Anolis sagrei: one gene and its partners. The protein of the gene in region 1 interacts with the protein of each later gene in a biochemical or structural test. Links are inferred from orthologs where the notes say so. Each region holds a gene or a part of one and is shown in the gene's direction. Other genes may lie near its edges. The genes, in order: LATS1, MINK1 and HTRA2.

Region 1 (6,933 bases):
CAAAATACTGAATTATTAATAGTTACCAACAGAGCATATGTCTACATTATAAACTACAAAAATAAGCTTGCCATATATTTTTTTCAGTGTGGGAAGTGCACTTTCATCCTTCCAATCCTGATCACTTGTTCACATGTTCAGAGGATGGAACTCTGTGGCACTGGGATGCTTCCACTGATGTGTCTGAAAGGAAATCTTACCTTCATACAGGTAAATCTTATTTAAGCTTCTAAGCAATTGCATTGACAAGAGATTCCCCGCCGTTCTTTTAGCACAGTAATTTTTAACTTGGCATGTTCACTTGGTTTCCATCATTATATGCATCTTCCTTGATAAAGGTGAAATAAACCTTTATGTGATCTATATTCCAGTGTGGTATAGTGTTTTGAGTGTTGGACTACAACTCAAGACCAGGGTACAAATTCCTACTCAGACAAAGAAACCTCCACTTTTACTTGTGGGGAGAAGAGCCTAAAAGTGATACCGACTTAATATTTAAATATTTGCTTTTACTCTAACTTCTCATGAAGCAAGGAGATAATGGTTTAATGGTTCTGGAGGTCTATAGCGTATAAGCTGTATTTCTGGCACATTAGTGACAAAGCTCAACACTTTAAGGATGTTTAATAGGGCTGGGCGGTTTCGTTTCGTTAATTCGTAATTCGTTAAAAATTCGTTATTTTTTTTTTAAAATAACGAAGCGATAACGAACCATTCTGGAGCAACTTAAAAACGAAACGAATTTTTAAATTCGTTTCGTAAATGCTTCGGATTCGTTATGTATTCGTTTCGTTATCGGTTTGAGTTCATTTCGTTATTATTTCCGCATGTCTGGGGCAAGTTTTATAGTTGTTTTTTGTTTAATTAGTGAAAAAAAATTATAATATCACACCAACAGTCAACAACAGAGGGAGAGGGAAGCTTCAGAAGTTCCCCCTGTCCCATTTGGAGGTTTTTTAGCGTATTGCGCGGTCGCGTCCGCCATTAACGAATCGATTCGTTATTGTTTCGTATTTGTTTCGTTAATGTTTCGTAATTTTTTTTTACATTTACGAAATTTCATAAATATCGAACTTTTTAAAAGAAAAATTTCGGAATTCTTTTAAATATCGAAACGCAAAAACCCCCAAAAAACGAATCGATTTTAGAAACAAATTTTTCCGTTGTTACCCAGGCCTAATGTTTAAGTATAAAGTGCATGTGCTTGTCTTAACTATTACATTAATCTGCAAAATATGCAGTTGTGATGATAACTATTTTTGTGTTTTGTTTTCAGGTGGGAGAAGTACCACATTTTTGCCTCAGTCTCAGTCTGTGATTAGTGCATGGTTAAGGAACGATCCTACTAGAGAAATCACAAATTTAATTTCAAATCCTACACTGTCTGTTAATAGTTTAGATGTCTTAGGATCATGTCTTGTATATGGAACTGATGCAGAATCTATCTATGTTAAGAAAAACTTCTTCGCATAGTTATCTTTAGCTCTGACTCGAAACTTTAGCTTCACAATACTGAATTTCATGTTATTTTATGTCAATTAAGAATATAGAAGGGCAAATGCAATACAATCCATGTTACAGCATTAGTTTTTTTAATCTAATTCTTGCATAAAATAAACAGTAAACAGTTATTGTTCATAAATTGATTATTTCTGTTTCCCAGAAGTTTACCAATGCTGAAAACTACAACAAAGGATAAAGTGACCCATATCAGCAGTATGAACTGTGTTATATTGTGTTAACCATAATGGCAACACAACATTCTAAGCAAAAAATTGTTTTCATTAAATTCTGATAAATAAAAACACAATATATTACATTTAAGAGACTTTTCGGCAATGTTAGAAGAAAATATCATCCAGCAAAGGAAAACAGAAACAGATCATTAGGTACAAAAATATTTTATCTATTTCACTAAAGCAGAGGTGAATAAGTGTGTTAATAATCTATACCCTAATACTGACCAGATTGGGAACTGGAACCTAATATCCAGAGAACTTCAACTGCCCTGTTCCTGCAGTAAACTATAAAACAACATTTAGCCTATATTTCATTAGAGCCAGCATTGTGTTGTGGTTTAAGCATTAAACTATGGCTGGAGGCAAGAGTTCAGTTTCTTGCTTGGCCGTGGAAACCCACTTTTTGACCTTGAGAAAGTCAAATACTCTCCACCCCAGAAAACCCATTTATATAGTTGCCATAAGTCAGAAATATTGTGAAAGCATACATCATTAGCATTTCATTTCTATTATCATCCTGGCATTACTTGATGGTAAATCTCAAGGATTTTCAGTCTGCCTGATTTCAGGATCAGTATGCTGAGATTTAACCAGCTTCCTGGTTCTACACCTTCATCACTTCCTCAGCCCTATGATACCCTGTTTCCATTATTCCTTGCCCAGCCCTTTTATAGTTAACCATGCCCGTTTTATAGTCCTGGACATTGGTTTTTGTTGAGCCTTGTCTGATGGGAGTTATAACTGCAATCAGTTTAAATTTTTATTGTTGTGTTTAGTAGGATTTTTGTGTTTTATGATGCTTTTATTTTAATCTGTGATTTTTATTTTTATTTTTTTTTGGCAATTGAATGTTTTGCCTTTTATGTTGGAAATCACCTTGCGTCCCTTTGGGGAAATAGGGTGGGATACAAATAAGGTTTTGTTGTTATTATTATACTGCCATATAATGTAGTTTCAGAATGCAGATTGGACTGGATTATATGAGTCTACACTGTCATTTAATACAATTCACAGGAAGGCCTGAGGCTGCGAGAAATGCGAGATCCAGCCTTAGAAATGGTGGGAGTTGAAGTCCAAAACTGCAGGGAGGGCCCAAGTTGGCCCAGGCCTGAGTCAAACTGCTAAACAATTGAGGGGGAAAAGAAAGGGGCCTGAGGCAGGCCTGTAGCAAGGGGGGGGGGGGTTAGGGGTTCAACCCCCCCCCCCCCCCGAAATGTTTCAGGTTAAAAAAAAACTGGTTTACTCATGAATTTTAACTGGTTAACCAAATCCCCATGCTAAGTCTATGAGACACAAAAAATTAAGAGTCCCTCCAGAACTGCAAGCACTATTTCAAGCAAATATTGACAATTTATTCACACTGTCATTACTTGCAGCAATAGCTGATGTAGCGAAGCAACCAAGTTGGGTGTGTGTGTGTTGAATGCTCTCATTAAGGAGGGCAGACTTGGTGGAGGTGGTTGACAGGGGCAGAGCTGCAGGCTATTGAAGGCTGCTCTGTCCCCTGCTGTACTCTTTGCTTCAGCATGAGCTAAGAGGCAGGTTTCAACTCCTCTCCCCACCCCCGAAATTTTCAACCCTCCCCAAAAAAATTTTCTGGCTACGGCCCTGGCCCGAGGCTGCGAGGAATGGTGGGAGTTGAAGTCCAAAAGGCCTGCAGGGAGGGCCCAAGTTGGCCCAGGCCTGAGTCAAGCTGCTAAGCGGCTGAGGGGGAAAAGGAAGGGGCCTGAGACTGCGAGGAATGGTGGGAGTTGAAGTCCAAAACACTTGCAGGGAGGGCCAAAGTTGGTCCAGGGCTGAGTCAAACAGCTAAGCAGCTGAGAGGGGAAAGGAAGGGGCCTGAGGAATGATGGGAGTTGAAGTCCACAACACCAGGAGGGAGGGCCCAAGTTGGTCCAGGCCTGAGTCAAACTGTTAAGCGGGCGAGGGGGAAAAGGAAGGGGCCTGAGGCTGCGAGGAATGGTGGGAGTTGAAGTCCAAAAGGCCTGCAGGGAGGGCCCAAGTTGGCCCAGGCCCGAGTCAAAGAGCCCTCCTCCAGCCGTGGTGTGGCTGAGGCGCCCGCTCCCTGCCTGTCTCGGAGGCGGCGCCCGAATGAAGGCCTCCTTCTCCAAAGGGGGGGGGAGAGGAAGGGTGCGCGAGAGCAGACTGCCGGCGAAACGCGCAAAGGAGGCCGGGAGAAAAGTTTTCACATCCGGGAACCTGGGGCGAGAAAGAGGCCCACCGACAAAATGGCAGCCCGGAACTGAACCCCGAAAAGAGGGAGGGGGAGAGCTGGCGAGGGGAGGGACGGGACAGGACGCCGCTGTCGCTGCCATAGTGCTGGGGGCCGAAGCCGCGTAGACGCCGACACCACTCTCTGAGCAGCCCCCGAAGCCGAGGCCTTGTCCCCGCCTCGCCTCCCCCCCCCCCCCCCGCGTCTCTCTCTCTCTCTCTCTCCGGCAAAGCAGGTGGGTGGCAAGGGCTGGCTCGCGCTCCGCCTCAGGGAAGGCCGGGAAGGCCCTGCGCGCGACACGCCTCGGCCTGCGGTGTGGTCACGTCGGGACAAAAACCGCTCCCCACGTGTGTTCAGTCAGGATCTGTTCGCATGGTGTGAATCGGAGAGGGAGGCATAGAGCAAAAAGATAGGCGAGGTCTGGACTCTCCGTGGGAAAGACACTCCAAAATAAGGGAGTTACCAGGGCCTTAAAAGCCACGAAGCGGATGAAGGAGAGACCCTTTATAGGCCCCTTCCACACAGCTGAATAAAGTCCCACATTAGCCGCTTTGAACCTGGACTATATGGCAGTGTGGACTCAGGTAACGCAGTTCAAAGCGCATATTGTGGGATTTTCTCCCTTGATATTTTGGGTTATATGGCTGTGTGGAAGGACCATGAGAGAGCTTTTCTTGATATTCTTGTGATGATGTTAAGACTTGGGGCCCTTCCACACAGCCCTATATCCTACAATATCAAGGCAGAAAATACCACAATATCTGCTTTGAACTGGGTTATCTGAGTCCACACTGCCATATATTCCAGTTCAAAGCGGAAAATGTGGGATTTCCTGCCACGATATTCTGGGATATAGGGCTGTGTGGAAGAGAAAGCCTTCTCTCACAGCTCTTATATGGCTTTATGGAAGGGCCCATAGCCTATATCAGGCTTGGGCAAACTTTGGCCCTCCAGGTGTTTTGGACTTCAGCTCCCACAATTCCTAACAGTTGAAGTCCAAAACACCTGGAGGACCAAAGTTTGCCCATTCCCGGTGTCTCTCTCTCTCGACTTTTAAGTCACTTCACTCCCTTGCACCTGTTGGTTATTCTGCCTTCAGAGATTAGTGTCTTCCATATGTCCTGATTGGTGTTCCCTTTGTTTTGTTTTATGACAAGTCAGCGAATATCTCGTAATTATCCAGATTTTGCTATAACCATCTTTTCTGTGGACAATATTTCAAAGCAATTATTTGGATCAGAAGCCGGAAAAATCACAAAGAATGGGTGATGCAAATCCAACACAGAATTATTTATTTATTTATTACCTTTCTCGCCCCAAAGGGGACTCAGAGAAGCTTACAAGTAATATACAATACAATAAATAAAATAAATACAATATCTTCTTGGATCCCTAAAAATATGGAACGCTTCATGAATTTGCGTGTCATGCAATTGGTCTGTAATTGGCTCTTTCTCTTCCTCATATTAAAGAATGCAGTCACCTTTAGGGACACAGATTTGTTGTATGTTTGAATTCCAACATTTTAGCTGGCACAGTGAATTCAAACAATGTGCAGTTGCCTTTTTCAAGAAAGTAAGGCCTCTGCTTTTGTGTATTTTGATGCTGCATGTTGTCATTTTTAAATATTAGAATTGCTAGCTATATAAACAATAAGAAGTAATAAAATACACAACTTTTTATATTGACAGTTTGATGTCTAACATGAAGATGGCCTCAAAGGAAGTGAAAAAGGAAATGGGAAATTAATATTTAGGGCTAATGCAAGTTAACCATTCCTTATCAGAAATTCTTGGGCCCCAAAGTGTTTTGGATTTTGGGATAACTCTATTTGCATGTATGAACACAATGACATAGCCTGAAAGTAATGCTATATACAGTATTGGAAATTTTGTGCACGGAAGAATGTTTGTGTATATTGAACTGTTAAAAAGCAGATGTGGCACTATCTTAGCCACAGTTCTAGACCATTGTGAATTTTGGAGTATTTCAGAATTCTGAGTAAAGATGCTCAACCTTTCTATTTTACTTTAAAGAAGGAGTTGAGATACTTAGAAAAGGTTGCAACCCAACATATTGAAGGTTTGAACCTTTTCTATGGCATCGCAGAAATAATATAGAAATGCTAATGGATCCAGGAATAAAAAGTATATTTGTGAGGGAGGAGTCCAAGAATGGGGAGCAGTGGGGTTTGGCTTTATTAAGGACAGGGGGAAAGTGCATCGTGAGGACAACTATGGATGGAAACAAACAAAATGGGTTGCATGGTCACTCTCCGAAAGCACATCAGAATAGCCAAGTTTTTAGATCTTTCTTAAAGGCTGCTAGGGTGGGGGCTTGCCTAATCTCCCCGGGTAGCAAGTTCCAAAGTCGGGGGGCCACAGCGGAGAAGGCTCTCTCCCTTGTTCCCATAAGTCGTGCTTGTGATAGAGGAAGGGCAAAAGGAGGGCCTCTCCAGAAGATCGAAGAGATCATGCAGGTTTATGGTAGGAGATGCGATCACAAAGATAGGCGGTCACAAAGGATGGGAGAGAAAGCTTCAGTGGAGACACCATTTCTCCATGATAACTCTTTCAGGAGTGAATTTCTCTTCCTAGGACTAAATGTCTCTCACTTCCTGTTGTCTCTTCCCCATTTGTAAGTTGAATGTTTATAATGCGGGGACTGCCTGTACTCATGTATAAGATAAATTTATTATATGTCAAGAAAGGGGTTTGGAGCCAATCGTATGGATTTTGCTTTGACTCATGGAGAAGTTCAGGTTAGAACTTCGGGGCATGCAGGAAACAAATTGTTTCTTTTTAAAGATGTATAGAGGGAACATTCTTAGAAAAAGCTAAAAAGAGATTATTTGAGGTGTTACAATTTGAGTGTGTGTGTGAAATAGGGGCTAACTTGCATCACTGATCTTAAAATGTCCACATATATAGAAATAACAATAGAGAAAGGAATATGAATTAGGGAAAAAAACTGAGAATACAG
Region 2 (7,321 bases), on another chromosome or scaffold:
GGGTGCTTCTTGCTTGTTGATGAGTGCAATAAACAAGTTTGCCTTTTTCGCTGTGCAGTTTCTCGTTCCTGGCAGTTCATTAGTAGAGGCTTCTGTCTGCCGACATGTGCTTCGTTTATATCTGCGCATGTTTAGGTGATACGGTCATCCTCATCATCAACCTGACGGCTTGAGGTTGAAATCATGGAGGATTTTATTAGAAGGGCCTGGCCCTGTAGGAGAGACCCTGCGGACCCACCAAAGAGGGATCGCTACAATGGGGAGCAAAGAGAAGCCCAATTTAAAATAATTTCCCTAGGTTCCCAAAAAGAATCTCACCAAAGTTGAAGTGTAGCGGGAGGGTCCCCAATTTCCAAGAATCCAGGAGATCAGCGAAGAAGGAAGAGACAGAGACAGCTTTTGCAAGTTCACAGAATTTTAATCTTACCCGGGTAAGGGTGCTCCAGCTTCCCAAAATGGCTGATGTGGCACAGAGCACTGCCCCAAAAGCATCCAGTATTTATAGGCAGAATTACCTAGTTTACACATGCGCATAACTCTCTTGACATTTACACAATCTAATCAATATCAGTTTGTCCTCGAGAAACCGCGGCCAAGAACACTTGTTGGCAAGATACTATATTTTCCACTGCTCTCCTTTCATCAGCTGACCACGTTCCTAGATGAATTACGTAAAAGTGAATCTTAACTTCATATATCTCTTCACACATATATCTTCATATATGTATCTTCATATATGTTCTTTAACTTATTCAAAGCAAGCATTTCCCTTATTAATTCTTCTGTAATTACTTTCACATTATTTTCCTATATTCTTATTAGAATATCATAGGACTGAATTACCTGCTATTTACATCAGATGGAGGATAGATGGCGCTGTTGTACCATATCTTCAGATGTTTGTTTTGGATCAATAATTATCGATTTACCTTTTGAGCCAGGTTTCCTACCTCAGCCTTCAGCCTTAGCCTTGGCTTCCTCAAATATTGACTTAAGATATGGTTCCTTCCTTGTCCTAGTTCTATTTCCATCTGTTAATTTCCCTTTTCACCAGAATTCTTCCCTCCAGCCTCAGAAAAGCCTTAAAGGTAAGACTAATTCATTAATTTCATTATTTTATAATTACTTTTTTCCTAATGACTGCCACAGAAGAAAGCGCCACCAAGATGATTTTATTGTGATTCAGCTGAAAAGGATGCAAAGCAGCAATCTTTCGCCAAGCTTAGCTAACATGTACACAAATAAATGCCATTTTTATAGAAATACAGAGTTATGTGGTTCAAATCTCCCGCTCTCCGCCCCTCGCCTGGCTTGAAGGTGATTGGCTGGTGCTGGGAGGAGGCTCGGCCACCCCCCTCCAAGCGCCTGGGCCAATCACAGGGCTTCTGTGGTGCGCCAGAGCCAATCAGGAGGCTTTTGCTGCCTAGGCGCTCCAGCGAATCGGGAGGGAGGGAGGCGAGACAAGGGAATACAATGCATTCTTGAGTGGATTATGGTATCAGGAAATGTCCAGGGGCTTGGCGAGTCCTAAAATGGCCTACGAGCGAAGCTTTACTATTGTCTGGTGATTGAGTAAAATATACATTGATGCTGGCGATACCAACATAATCCGGGTTTTCCTTTTACACCAAAACAGAGGAACAATGGGGGGAAACTTAAATGGATGCCTTCAGTGAGAGAGTTGAATGTGTGACAGGTCAGGAGGGGGGAACTTTTCGAAGGCTGTGGTGGAGGCTCCTTCTTTGGAAGCTTTGAAATAGAGGCTGGATGGCCATCTGTCAGGGGTGCTTTGAATGCAATATTCCTGCTTCTGGGCAGAATGGGGTTGGACTGGAGGATGGCCCAGGAGGTCTCTTCCAACTCTAGGATTCTGATTCCCCTTGTCCTATTGTAATATAATCAAGATTTGCCAAGCAATCATTTCCCTGGTGGCCAAATCCTCCGAGGCCAGGGCATGATTCTTTGTTATTTATTTATTTAAAAGTTTTATATACCAAGCTTCTCACCTCATAAGAGGGACTCAGCCCGGTTTCCAACCATAAAAACACATACAATCGGTAAAATATCAAAATACACATTACAATAAAACATTAAAAAAGCATATATATTTAAAACTACAGTGGTCAGTCGTCATACTAAAATCGAATATACACCGTCTTCCATCCAGATCGTTGTCTCATTCTTCAAAAGCCTGTCTCCATAACCACGACTTCACCTGTTTCCTAAATGTCAGGATTGTTGGGGCGGTTCTAACCTCTGGCGGAAGAGAGTTCCAGAGTCGCAGGGCTACCACTGAGAAGGCCCTGTCCCTCATCCCCACCAGCTGTGCTGGTGAGGCCGGCGGGACTGAGAGCAGGGCCCCTCCAGACGATCTTAGTAATCTTGATGGTTCATAGGGGAGAGGTAAACAGGGCTGGAGTCGTTTAGGGCTTTATAGGTCAACACCAGCACTTTGAATTGTGCTCGGAAGCTAATTGGCAGCCAGTGGAGCTGGTGTAACAGCGGAGTAGTATGCTCTCTGTACCCAGCCCCCGTTAGTAGTCTGGCTGCCGAGCATTGGACTTGCTGCAGCTTCCGAGCAGTCTCCAGAGGCAACCCCACGTAGAGAGCGTTGCAGTAGTCTAAACGGGATGTAACCAGAGCGTGGACTACTGTGGTCAAATCAGACTTTCCAAGGTACGGGCGCAGTTGGCGCAGAAGCTTTAGCTGTGCGAATGCTCCCCTGGTCACCGCCGAAACCTGGGGTTCCAGGCTTAGCGATGAGTCCAGGATCACACCCAAGCTGCGAACCTGCATCTTCAGGGGGAGTGTAACCCCATCCAACACAGGCTGTAACCTTATACCCTGTTCGGCCTTGCGACTGACCAGGAGGACCTCTGTCTTGTCTGGATTCAATTTCAGTTTGTTCGCCCTCATCCAGACCGTCACAGCGGCCAAGCACCGGTTCAAGGTCTAGACAGCCTCCTTAGTAGCAGGTGGGAAGGAGTGACAGAGTTGGATGTCATCTGCATACAAGTGACATCGCACCCCAAAGCTCTGGATGATCTCTTGCATGTTACAGTCCTTGCAAGGAATGTTCTTTGACAATGGTCTCTGCACTTGCTAATCTCTTCCCTTCCAGGGTCAGGGCAACTTCCTCGTGCATTTTTCCCGCCTTTTCTCACTCGCGCATGCGCCCTCACGCCTCTCTGCCAAGGTGTGACTTTACTTCCGCCACACTCAATCCCTTTCCCAACACTCCGCCTCCATTAGCCCCGCCTCGTCATGGCGCCGCCGATCGGCTTGGTTTTAAAGCACTTCCGCCACTCCTGTCTCCTTTCCACGCCTGCGCAGTCTAGAAACCCTTTTTGCTTTCCCCTCCTGGAAACTACTTTGTACGCATGCGCCATTTTTCTGTGCCTCGCTCCTTCGTGCCTTAGCTCCATCCGGGGACTTTCCCTGGAAGAGGCTTCAGCGTTCAATCTGTGGTACGCATGCGTGGTCTCTTCCCCTCCCGCCCTCTCTGCCGAGGAGCGTCCACAACGCATGCGCAGTAGAGTCCACGCCCATCGAGCGTGCACACATGCGCACTCTTTTCGTTCGCCTCCCTTCTGTATGCGGATGAGCGTCCACGACGCATGCGCAGCAGAGTCCACGCCCATCGAGAGTACACGCATGCGCACTCCTTTCGTCCTCCTTCTGTATGCGGATGAGCGTCCACAACGCATGCGCTGTAGAGTCCTCGTCTATCGAGCCTGCACGCATGCGCACTCTTTGCGTTTCCCTCCTGAGGATGAGCGTCCACAACGCATGCGCAGTAGAGTCCACGCCCATCGAGCTTGCACACATGCGCCCTCCTTTCGTTTCCCTCGCTTCTGTCTGCGGATGAGTGTCCACGACGCATGCGCGCTGGAGTCCGCGCCTACCAATAGTGCAGCGGACTCTGGCACGCATGCGCGCTTTCCCCTCGCCCGCTAATGAGCGCCCGAGACGCATGCGCAGTGGAGTCCCCGCCTACCGATAGTGCAGCGGGCTCTGGCACGCATGCGCGCTTTCCCCCGTCCGCTAATGAGCGTCCACAACGCATGCGCAGTAGAGTCCACGCCCATTGAGCGTGCACACATGCGCACTCCTTTCGTTCTCCTCCTGTCTGCGGATGAGCGTCCACAACGCATGCGCAGTAGAGTCCACGCCTACCGATAGTGCAGGGAGCTCTGGCACGCATGCGCGCTTTTCCCCGCCCGCTAATGAGCGCCCAAGACGCAGGCGCAGGGGAGTCCCCGCCCACCCGCTGTTCTGCGCAGGCGCAGTGCGGCGCAAGTGCTTCCCTGTCAGTCAGTCAGTCAGTCGAAGCGAGAAGGCGAAGAGGAAGGAAGGTTTGAAGGAAGAGGATGGGAGAGACTAGGCCGCAGCCTTGAGGGAAAAGGAAAGGAGGAAGGAAGAAGGAAGGAAGGATGGCCGACCCGGCCCCCGCCCGCAGCCTCGACGACATCGACCTCTCCGCCCTCAGGGTGAGCGGGGTCAAGGGTCAGGGGTCATCTGCTTCAGCCCCCCCCACCTCCCCTTCCTGTTCCCCTCCCTCTTTCTTTCCTTCCCTCTCGTTGCTTCCGCTGCAGGAAATGCCATGGCCTCCCTCCCTCCCTGCTGAAAAGGCGCTTTTTGAGCTCTCAGGGCCACCGTAGCTGCCTGGCTCCCTTTTCTTACCTTTCTCCCTATTATTGTTGTTGTTGTTGTTGTTGTTATTGTCCCTCTCCAAAGCCTCCTCCTTTCTTTCCTGCATTCAGTGCACTTTGAAATTAAATGCCATTCACGATTCACATAATAATAATAATCTATATAAATAAAAATGTAATATTCGTTTGTGGGATTAACAGAACTTAATCACCACTGGGGGAATGGACACCAAATTTGGACACAAGGCACCTCTCAGGCCAACGTGTGTCCATCATCCATAAACACACACACACACACAAAACCCCAGCAGAACAGACTTAAAAACTCCAAAAATACACCATATATACATATACACATACACTCATATACATATACACATGCACACATTCATACATACACACGTGTATATATATGCACAAGCACACACAAATATACATATACAAATACACACATACACACATATATATATACAAATACACATATACATGCACACATATATATACACATATGCACACATATACATATACACATACATACATATACACAAATATGCATATAGACAAGCACACACATATGCAATATGCATGTATACATATAAACACACAAAATATATATATACACACACACACACACAAAACACATATACACACACTGGGCCACAGCAACGCGTGGCAGGGGACGGCTAGTATTATTATATTGTATAGTATGATCTTATGATCTTATATATTATTATAATATGTTACACTATGTTCCTGGGTTGTCAGTGTCATTTCCTAATGGGTTGTATCATCGAAACATGAGAAAAGATTATTAAACTGCGCAAACGTTGTGTCTGCAGGAAGGGCATCGCGCAGCACATTTGGCCAATGAGTGACCATCACTCATAAAAACACTAAAAAACACAGCAGAAGGGACTTAAAACCCAAAAAATACATTACAACGCACATGCAAAACTTAGAATTACTAACCAAAGTAAATCAATTAAAACCATATAAAATAACTAATAAACACATAATAAAAACTCATCTAGTACATTTTCATCATAATGAAAAAATGACTACTAAAGTGCATTAAAATTATGGGACAGTTTACAACCACCAGCTATGTATTACGTAGAATTACAAAGAAATCAACTGTCATTGGACATTGAAATTCAGTGCCATCCCCGATATACATAATTATATTATGTAGAATTACCAAAAAACACAGCACCCATTCTTCCACTTTCTGATTGCTATCATCATCATTTAATAACTTATTTATCGCCCTCCATCTGAGAATGCTCTAGGCGATTTAAAGATAAAATACATACATACAAAAATTAAAAATTAACAGAGTTCGAATGCTCTAGTAAAAAGCCAGGTCTTAAGTGCGGGAGTAAAAGGCCCGAATACCAATAATAATAATATTTATTATGTATAAATTGTCTTATTCTTATGTTTATTTAGCGTTTAATTAAGCCAAATAAGTTGTAGGTAAGCTCTAGGTTTTTATCTTGGTTTTAATGTTTATATGATTTTAACTATGTTTCCAGTTTCAAATATTTATGATTTTCCAGGTTGTTTTAGCTTTTGTACTGCATGTTTTTTTGTTCTGTTGTTGCCGCCTTGGGTCTGTGCTCAAATAAATAAATAGTAAATAAATATCCCACTTTAAAACACCCACCCTTCTTCTGCCTTCTAATTGCTATTGCACAACCCCTAATAATAATTATTATTGTTATTATTTATACCTCACTTTATCTCTCCAAAGGGGAATAATAGGGCAAATTGTTATTATTATGTTTATTTATATCCCACTTTTTCTTATCTCTACAAGGAGAACCAAAGCAGCAAAGGCAACCCCACTCTGAAGCCCTCTGATAATAATAATAATCATAATAAAGACACAGGTGAATAGAGAGAGAAAAAGAGAGAAATGTATTGGTCAATGGATGGATAGAGACACAGGTGAATTGATAGAGAAAATTGAGAAATGTTTTGGTGAATGGATAGATAGAGACACAGGTGAATGGATGGATAGATAGAAAAAGACACAGGTGAATAGATAGAAAGAAAGAGAAAGAGAGAAATGTATTGGTGAATGGATGGATAGATAGAGACACAGGTGAAGAGATAGAAAGATAAAGAGAGAAATGTATTGGTGAATGAATGGATAGAAAAAGACCCAGGTGAACAGATAGAAAGATAGAGAAAGAGAGAAATGTATTGGTGAATGGATGGGTAGAGACACAGGTGAATGGATGGATAGATAGAAAAATACACGGGTGAAGAGATAGAGAGAGAAATGTATTGGTGGATGGATGGATGGATAGTTAGAGACATAGGTGAATTGATAGAGAAAAGTAAGAAATGTATTGGTGAATGGATGGATAGAAAAACACAGGTGAATGGATGGATAGAAAAAGACACAGGTGAAGAGATAGAAAGATAAAGAGAGAAATGTATTGGTGAATGGATGGATAGAGACACAGGTGAATGGATAGATAGATAGATAGATAGATAGATAAAAATACACAGGTGAAGAGATAGAGAGAGAAATGTATTGGTGGATGGATGGATAGTTAGAGACACAGTGAGAAATGTATTGGTGAATGGATAGATAGAAAAAGAAAGACACGGGTGAAGAGATAGAGAGAGAAATGTATCAGTGGATAGATGGAGAGGTG
Region 3 (7,019 bases), on another chromosome or scaffold:
ACTTACTTAAGTCCTCTTTGCGGACTCTTGTCCTTAGCTGAACGTAGCATTTGTTGGATTTTCTTAGTGAGTCTGTAGATAGTTTGTATTTTGTGTTTCCTCATCTGCTTCCCTGTGTGGTCAGTGGTTCCCTTGCTGTATGGCAATCCAACAAATGCTACGTTTAGCAAAGAACAATTTCTGCAGGGGTACACCATATACCATGCAGCTGTGGACAAGTCTACCAAACGCAGCAGCATTGCCCAAACACGAGTCAAGGAACATGAAAGGCACTGCAGACTACTTCAGCCAGAGAAGTCAGCCATAGCAGAACACCTGCTGAACCCACCTGGACACAGCATTTTATTTGACAACACAGAAATCCTGGACCACTCTCACAACCACCAGGTCAGACTACACAGAGAAGCCACTGAAATCCACATGAACCACATGGACTAGTTGAAGCTTCCGGACCGTCTTCAAAGGCAACTCCACACTTGCCTCCAACAAACAAGAGTTCTTTCTCCCACCCTGAACCTTCCAGATATATAAACCCAATTTTCCAGTTTCCAACAAACCTCACAGTCTCTGAGGATGCTTGCCACAGATGCAGACAAAACGTCAGGAGAGAATGCCTCTAGAACAGGGGTCCTCAAACTAAGGCCCGGGGGCCAGATACGGCCCTCTAAGGTCATTTACCCGGCCCTCGCTCAAGGTCAACCTAAGTCTGAAACGACTTGAAAGCACACAACAACAACAATTCTATTTCATCAGCCAAAAGCAGGCCCACACTCACCACTGAAATACTAGTAAGTTTATATTTGTTAAACTAGCTCTTCATTTTAATTTTTGTATCGGATTGTTGTAGGTTTTTTTGGGCTATCTGGCCGTGCTCTAGAGGCATTCTCTCCTGACGTTTCACCTGCATCTATGGCAAGCATCCTCAGAGGTAGTGAGGTCTGTTGGAACTAGGAAAGCCACATCATGAGGAGACAGCAAAGCCTAGAGAAGGGAATGATGCTGGGGAAAGGGGGGGCCGACCAAGGGCAAGATGGATGGATGGCATCCTTGAAGGGACTGGACTGACCTTGAAGGAGCTGGGGGTGGTGACGGCCGACAGGGAGCTCTGGCGTGGGCTGGTCCATGAGGTCACGAAGAGTCGGAGACGACTGAACGAATGAACAACAACATATCTGAGGAATGACCAGAGTGGGACAAAGAACTCTTGTCTGTTGGGAGCTAGGGGTGAATGTTTCAACTGACCACCTTGATTAGCATTTGATGGCCTGGCAGTTTTTTGGTATGGCTTGTTACTGCCTGGGGAAATCTTTTGTTTAGAGGTGATTAGCTGTCTGGGGCTGAGAGTTCAACTGCTGAACAGCTCTCACAGTCAGGAAGTTCTTAAAATCATAGAATCATAGAGCTGGGAGAGACCTCATGGGCCATCATCCAGTCCAACCCCATTCTGCCAAGAAGCAGGAATACTGTATTCAAATCAGCCCTGACAGATGGCCATCCAGCCTCTGTTTCAAAGCTTCCAAAGAAGGAGCCTCTACCACACTCTGGGGCAGAGAGTTCCACTGCTGAACAGCTCTCACAGTCAGGAAGTTCTTAAAATCATAGAATCAAAGAGTTGGAAGAGACCTCATGGGCCATCCAGTCCAACCCCATTCTGCCAAGAAGCAGGAATACTGCATTCAAACCACCCCTGACAGATGGCCATCCAGCCTCTGCTTAAAAGCTTCCAAAGAAGGAGTCTCCACCACACTTCGGGGCAGAAGTGAGAGAGTGTGCTGGTGGTGATGGGGGGTGCCTGGCTTGGAAGCAGTATGTGTGAAAAAGATCTTGGGAGTCTTCGTGGACAACAAGTTAAACATGAGCCAGGAATGTGATGTGGCAGCAAAAAAAGCTAATGGGATTTTGGCCTGCATCAAGAGGAGCCTAGTGTCTAGATCTAGGGAAATCATGCTCCCCATGCTCTATTCTGCCTTGGTTAGAATATTGTGTCCAATTCTGGGCACCACAATTCAGGAGAGATATTGACAAGCTGGAATGTGTCCAGAGGAGGGCGAGTAAAATGATCAAGGGTCTGGAGAACAAGCCCCATGAGGAGCGGCTTAAGGAGCTGGGCATGTTTAGTCTGAAGAAAAGAAGGCTGAGAGGAGATATGTTAGCCATGGATAAATATGTGAGATGAAGCCACAGGGAGGAGGAGGGAGCAAGCTTGTTTTCTGCTTCCCTGGAGACTAGGACGCAATGGAGCCATGGCTTCAAACTACAAGAGAGGAGATTCCATCTGAACATGAGGAATAACATCCTGGCTGTGAGAGCCATTCAGCAGTGGAACTCTCTGCCCCGGAGGGAGTGTGGTGGAGGCTCCTTCTTTGGAAGCTTTTAAACAGAGGCTGGATGTCCATCTGTCAGGGGTGATTTGAATACAATATTCCTGCTTCTTTGTAGAATGGGGTTGGACTGGATGATGACCCAGGAGGTCTCTTCCAACTCTTGGATTCTATGATTCAGGAAGTTCTTCCTCATGTTCAGATGGAATCTCCTCTCTTGGAGTTTGAAGCCATTGCTCCATTGCGTCCTAGTCTCCAGTGAAGCAGAAAACAAGCTTGCTCCCTCCTCCTACCTGTGGCTTCCTCTCACATATTTATACATGGTTATCATATCTCCTCTCAGCCTTCTCTTCTTCAGGCTAAACATGCTCAGCTCCTTAAGCCGCTCCTCATAACGCTTGTTCTCCAGATCCTTGATCATTTTAGTCGCCCTCCTCTGGACACATTCCAGCTTGTCACTACCTATTTAATGTTTTAAAAAGTACTTATAACAGGCCCTCCAGTCCAACCCCATTCTGCCAAGAAGCAGGAGTATTGTATTCAAAGCACCCCTGACAGATGGCCATCCAGCCTCTGTTTCAAAGCTTCCAAAGAAGGAGCCTCCACCACACTCCAGGGCAGAGAGTTCCACTGTTGAACAGCTCTCACAGGCATAGAATCATAGAATCAAAGAGTTGGAAGAGACCTCATGGGCCTTCATCCAGTCCAACCCCTTTCTGCCAAGAAGCAGGAATATTGCATTCAAAGCACCCCTGACAGATGGCCATCCAGCCTCTTTTTAAAAGCTTCCAAAGAAAGAGCCTCCACCACACTCCGGGGCAGAGAGTTCCACTGCTGAATGGCTCTCACAGTCATATAATCCTAGAATCCTAGAGTGGGAAGAGACCTCCTGGGCCATCATCCAGTCCATCCCCATTCTGCCAAGAAGCAGGAATATTGCATTCAAAGCACCCCTGACTGATGGCCATCCAGCCTCTGTTTCAAAGCTTCCAAAGAAGGAGCCTCTGGGGCAGAAGTGGGAGAGTGTAATGGCAGTGATGGTGGCGAGGGGTGAGCCTGACCTCCTGGGGGCGCTGTCGGGGAGGGCGCAGCTGACGAGGAAGACGTGGAGTCCGACGAAGAGGCGCAGGAGGAGCAGGCAGAGGCCCACGGGCGCGTAGAGCAGCAGCGCCACCGCCAGCAGGCCGTCTCCCGGGAGGCTGCGGGAGAGAAGGAGACAGAGAGAGAGAAAGAGAGGCGTGAGGGTCTGAGGAGAGAGGTAGGCCCAAATCCACTGCGCCGCGCTCCTGCCCTCACCGGTGCGAGTCGAAGAGGCGCTCGGGCCCCACGGGGGAAGGAGAGGCGCCCGCTGCTGCTGCGGAGGGCGGCGCGGGATCCATGGCTTCTCCCCGGCGCCTCCCGCCTCTCCTCCTTCCCTTCCCGGGCTCTCCCTCAGCGCTCCCAAGGCCCGGCGGCCATCTTGGCGTCGCCTCCTCGCACAGGCCCCAGTTGGGCGGAAATGCGTCACCGCGTAGCACAACCCTGAGCCCTGATTGGTTCCCCGCCCGGAAGTGACCAAAAAGCGCCTCGGACTACACTTCCGGTCGCCTCCTCGCACAGGCCCCAGTTGGGCGGAAGTGCGTCACCGCGTAGCACAGCCCTGCGCCCTGATTGGTTCCCCGCCCGGAAGTAAACAAAACTGCGCTTCGGCCTACACTTCCGGTGGCGCCGCGGCCTACACTTCCGGTGTTACTCCCAGGGAGTCTCTTGTTTCCTTCGCCCGGGGGATAGGGAGGATGTGGCCGGCGGGGATGCGGAGGGGTTTGTGCTTGGCGTTGGGAAAGAGGGCGGTCTTCTCAGGCGGAGGAAGGCCTCCTTTTCCTCCTCCTTCTCCGCCGCCGTCTCCTCCTCGTTGGCGTTGGGCAGCCATGGGAGCGTGCGGAGCGGGGGCCGGGCTGCTGCTGCTGTTCTTCCTCCCTCGCAAACGGCGGAGGCCCGAGGAAGGCCTGGTCCCCGCGCTCTTGGCCGCCGTGCCTTCCCCGCCGCCTTCCCCGCGCACCACTTACAACTTCATCGCCGACGTCGTGGAACGGACCGCCCCGGCCCTCGTCTACATCGAGATCCTGGGCAGGTGCGCCTTTAGGGTTATTATTTAGTATTATTGTGCTGTCGCACGCTGGGCCTGTGCATAAGACTGTATTGTTGTTGTTCATTCGTTCAGGCGTCTCCGACTCTTCATGACCTCATGGACCAGCCCATGCCAGAGCTCCCTGTGGGCCGTCACCACCCCCAGCTCCTTCAAGGTCAGTCCAGTCCCTTCAAGGATGCCATCCATCCATCTTTCCCTTGGTCGGCCCCTCTTCCTTTTGCCTTCCACTTTCCCCAGCATCATTCCCTTATCAAGGCTTTGCTGTCTCCTCATGATGTGGCATTCAAAGGACTTCCACTTTCCCTCTAGTCTCCTTCCCTCCAGTGAGCAGCCGGGCTTTCTTTCCTGGAGGATGGACTGGTTGGATCTTCTCGCAGTCCAAGGCACTCTCAGCACTTTCCTCCAACACCACAGCTCAAAAGCATCTCTCTTCCTTCGCTCAGCCTTCCCTAAGGTCCAGCTCTCACATCCGTAGGTTACTACAGGGAATACCATGGCTTTGACTAGGCGGATCTTTGTTGCCAGTCTGATGTTTATTTATATATATATAAATAAATACAACGCATGCACGAAACCACATATAGATATGCAAACACACATATGCACACACATATACACACACCACATGTGCACAGACTGGACCGCACATTATAATGCATGTGGAAAACCACATATATACATATAAACACAAATATATGTGCGCGCACACATATATATATATAAACACAAATACACACACACACACACATATATACACACACAAAACACATATACACAGACAGGACTACAGCAATGTGTGGCAGGCACAAAACCACACACACATCACACATATACCCAAATATATATAAACACACAAAACACATATACAAAGACTGGGCCACAGCAACACGTGGCAGGGGATGGCTAGTATATAAATAAAAATGTAATGTTCGTTTGTGAGATTAACAGAACTCAAAAACCACCGGGGGAATTGACACCAAATTTAGACAGCATACACCTAACAACCCAATGTATGTCCTTCTCTCAATTTGATTTTGTCATTTGGTAGTTGTAGTTTCTGGGATTTATAGTTCACCTACAATCAAAGAGCATTCTGAACTCCACCAACGATGGAATTGAACCAGGACTCCCATGACCAACAGAAAACACTAGAAGGGTTTGATGAGCATTGACCTTGAGTTTGGGAGTTGTAGTTCACCTACATCCAGAGAGCACTGTGGACTCAAACAATGATGGATCTGGACCAAACTTGGCACAGATATTCAATATGCCCAAATATGAACACAGATGGAGTTTAGGGAAAATAGACCGTGACATTTGGGAGTTGTAGGTACTGGGTTTTATAGTTCACCTACAGTCAAAGAGCATTCTGAACCCCACCAACGATAGAATTGGGGCAAACTTCCCACACAGGAACCCCATGACCAACAGAAAATACTTGAGGCCACCCAGTCCAACTCTTCACCAGGGCAGGAAAATGTAATCATAGCCCTCCTGACAATGAGGAATCCAGTCATAAATATAGATGTATATTATTCTCTCTCTCACACACAGATATAGTATCATAAATTTGAAAGGGACCTCTAAAGAAGGACAATTATATGTTGCATGTTCCAGAGTAGGCAAACCAGACACTCTCCACATCAACACTGACGAAGAAACAACAAGAAATACTGTTTACCCACAAGCAGAAAGACTACATAGATTAGAAACCAACACTTTCTCATTACTTTATTTTCCAGATCACCAGATTGGGCCACAGCAACACGTGGCAAGGGATGGCTAGTAATAATAATAATAATAATAGGACTCGGGGCGGTTTCCAACAAAAGTGACAAACATTAAATGCCAGAAACTAACAAACTGTAAATTAAATAAAAACAATCACAATATAAAACTTACAACTATTCCAAAAAGTAATCAACATTATTAAATATTAACAGATTAGAAAAAGTATAAAGTATAAGACATTACAAAAAATTACAATATAGTAGAACGAACCCACCAGGACTTTGAGATCATACGGGGAGGCTCTGCTCTCGATCCCGCCTGCTACACAAGCACAGCTGGCGGGGACGAGAGATAGGGACTTCTCGGTGGTGGCCCCTCGGCTGTGAAACGCCCTTCCCACGGACATTAAATCGGCCCCATCGCTAATGGTATTCCGGAAAAAAGTGAAAACCTGGTTATTTGAACAGGCGTTTGAATAGACAGTGCAATGAGTGAATGAACATAGGAATGGAGGAATGGATGACGATTTTGGATCATGTTTTTAGTTATGAGACGTTAGTGTATGATTACTGTTGTTAATTGGTTAATGTGTTTATGATGTAATTGTTTTATATACTGTGTTGTTGAAGGGTCTAGAGAACAAGCCCTATGAGGAGCGGCTTAAGGAGCTGGGCATGTTTAGCCTGAAGAAGAGAAGGCTGAGAGGAGATATGATAGCCATGCATAAATATGTGAGAGGAAGCCACAGGGAGGAGGAGGGAGCAAGTTTGTTTTCCGCTTCCTTGGAGACTAGGACGCAAGGGAACAATGGCTTCAAACTACAGGAAAGGAGATTCCAT

The links.
Region 2: of the proteins of LATS1 (region 1) and MINK1, one has a biochemical effect on the other in vitro, tested with the Homo sapiens proteins (2 studies listed by BioGRID). The link is inferred for Anolis sagrei from reciprocal best matches to the Homo sapiens genes LATS1 and MINK1.
Region 3: the proteins of LATS1 (region 1) and HTRA2 form a complex in vitro, tested with the Homo sapiens proteins (2 studies listed by BioGRID, with this or other methods). The link is inferred for Anolis sagrei from reciprocal best matches to the Homo sapiens genes LATS1 and HTRA2.

The regions. Positions count from the first base shown.
Region 1 is NC_090021.1:73,306,989-73,313,921, forward strand, and holds the start of LATS1 (serine/threonine-protein kinase LATS1), read left to right. Parts: upstream 1-3,900; 5' UTR 3,901-4,186; intron 4,187-6,933. Other genes in the region: nucleoporin Nup43, read left to right, coding at 88-210, 1,277-1,473. UniProt on the Homo sapiens protein: Negative regulator of YAP1 in the Hippo signaling pathway that plays a pivotal role in organ size control and tumor suppression by restricting proliferation and promoting apoptosis.
Region 2 is NC_090026.1:1,089,532-1,096,852, forward strand, and holds the start of MINK1 (misshapen-like kinase 1), read left to right. Parts: upstream 1-4,260; 5' UTR 4,261-4,433; coding exon 4,434-4,490; intron 4,491-7,321. UniProt on the Homo sapiens protein: Serine/threonine kinase which acts as a negative regulator of Ras-related Rap2-mediated signal transduction to control neuronal structure and AMPA receptor trafficking.
Region 3 is NC_090025.1:3,653,878-3,660,896, forward strand, and holds the start of HTRA2 (serine protease HTRA2, mitochondrial), read left to right. Parts: upstream 1-4,003; 5' UTR 4,004-4,096; coding exon 4,097-4,431; intron 4,432-7,019. Other genes in the region: lipid droplet-regulating VLDL assembly factor AUP1, read right to left, coding at 3,383-3,520, 3,618-3,700.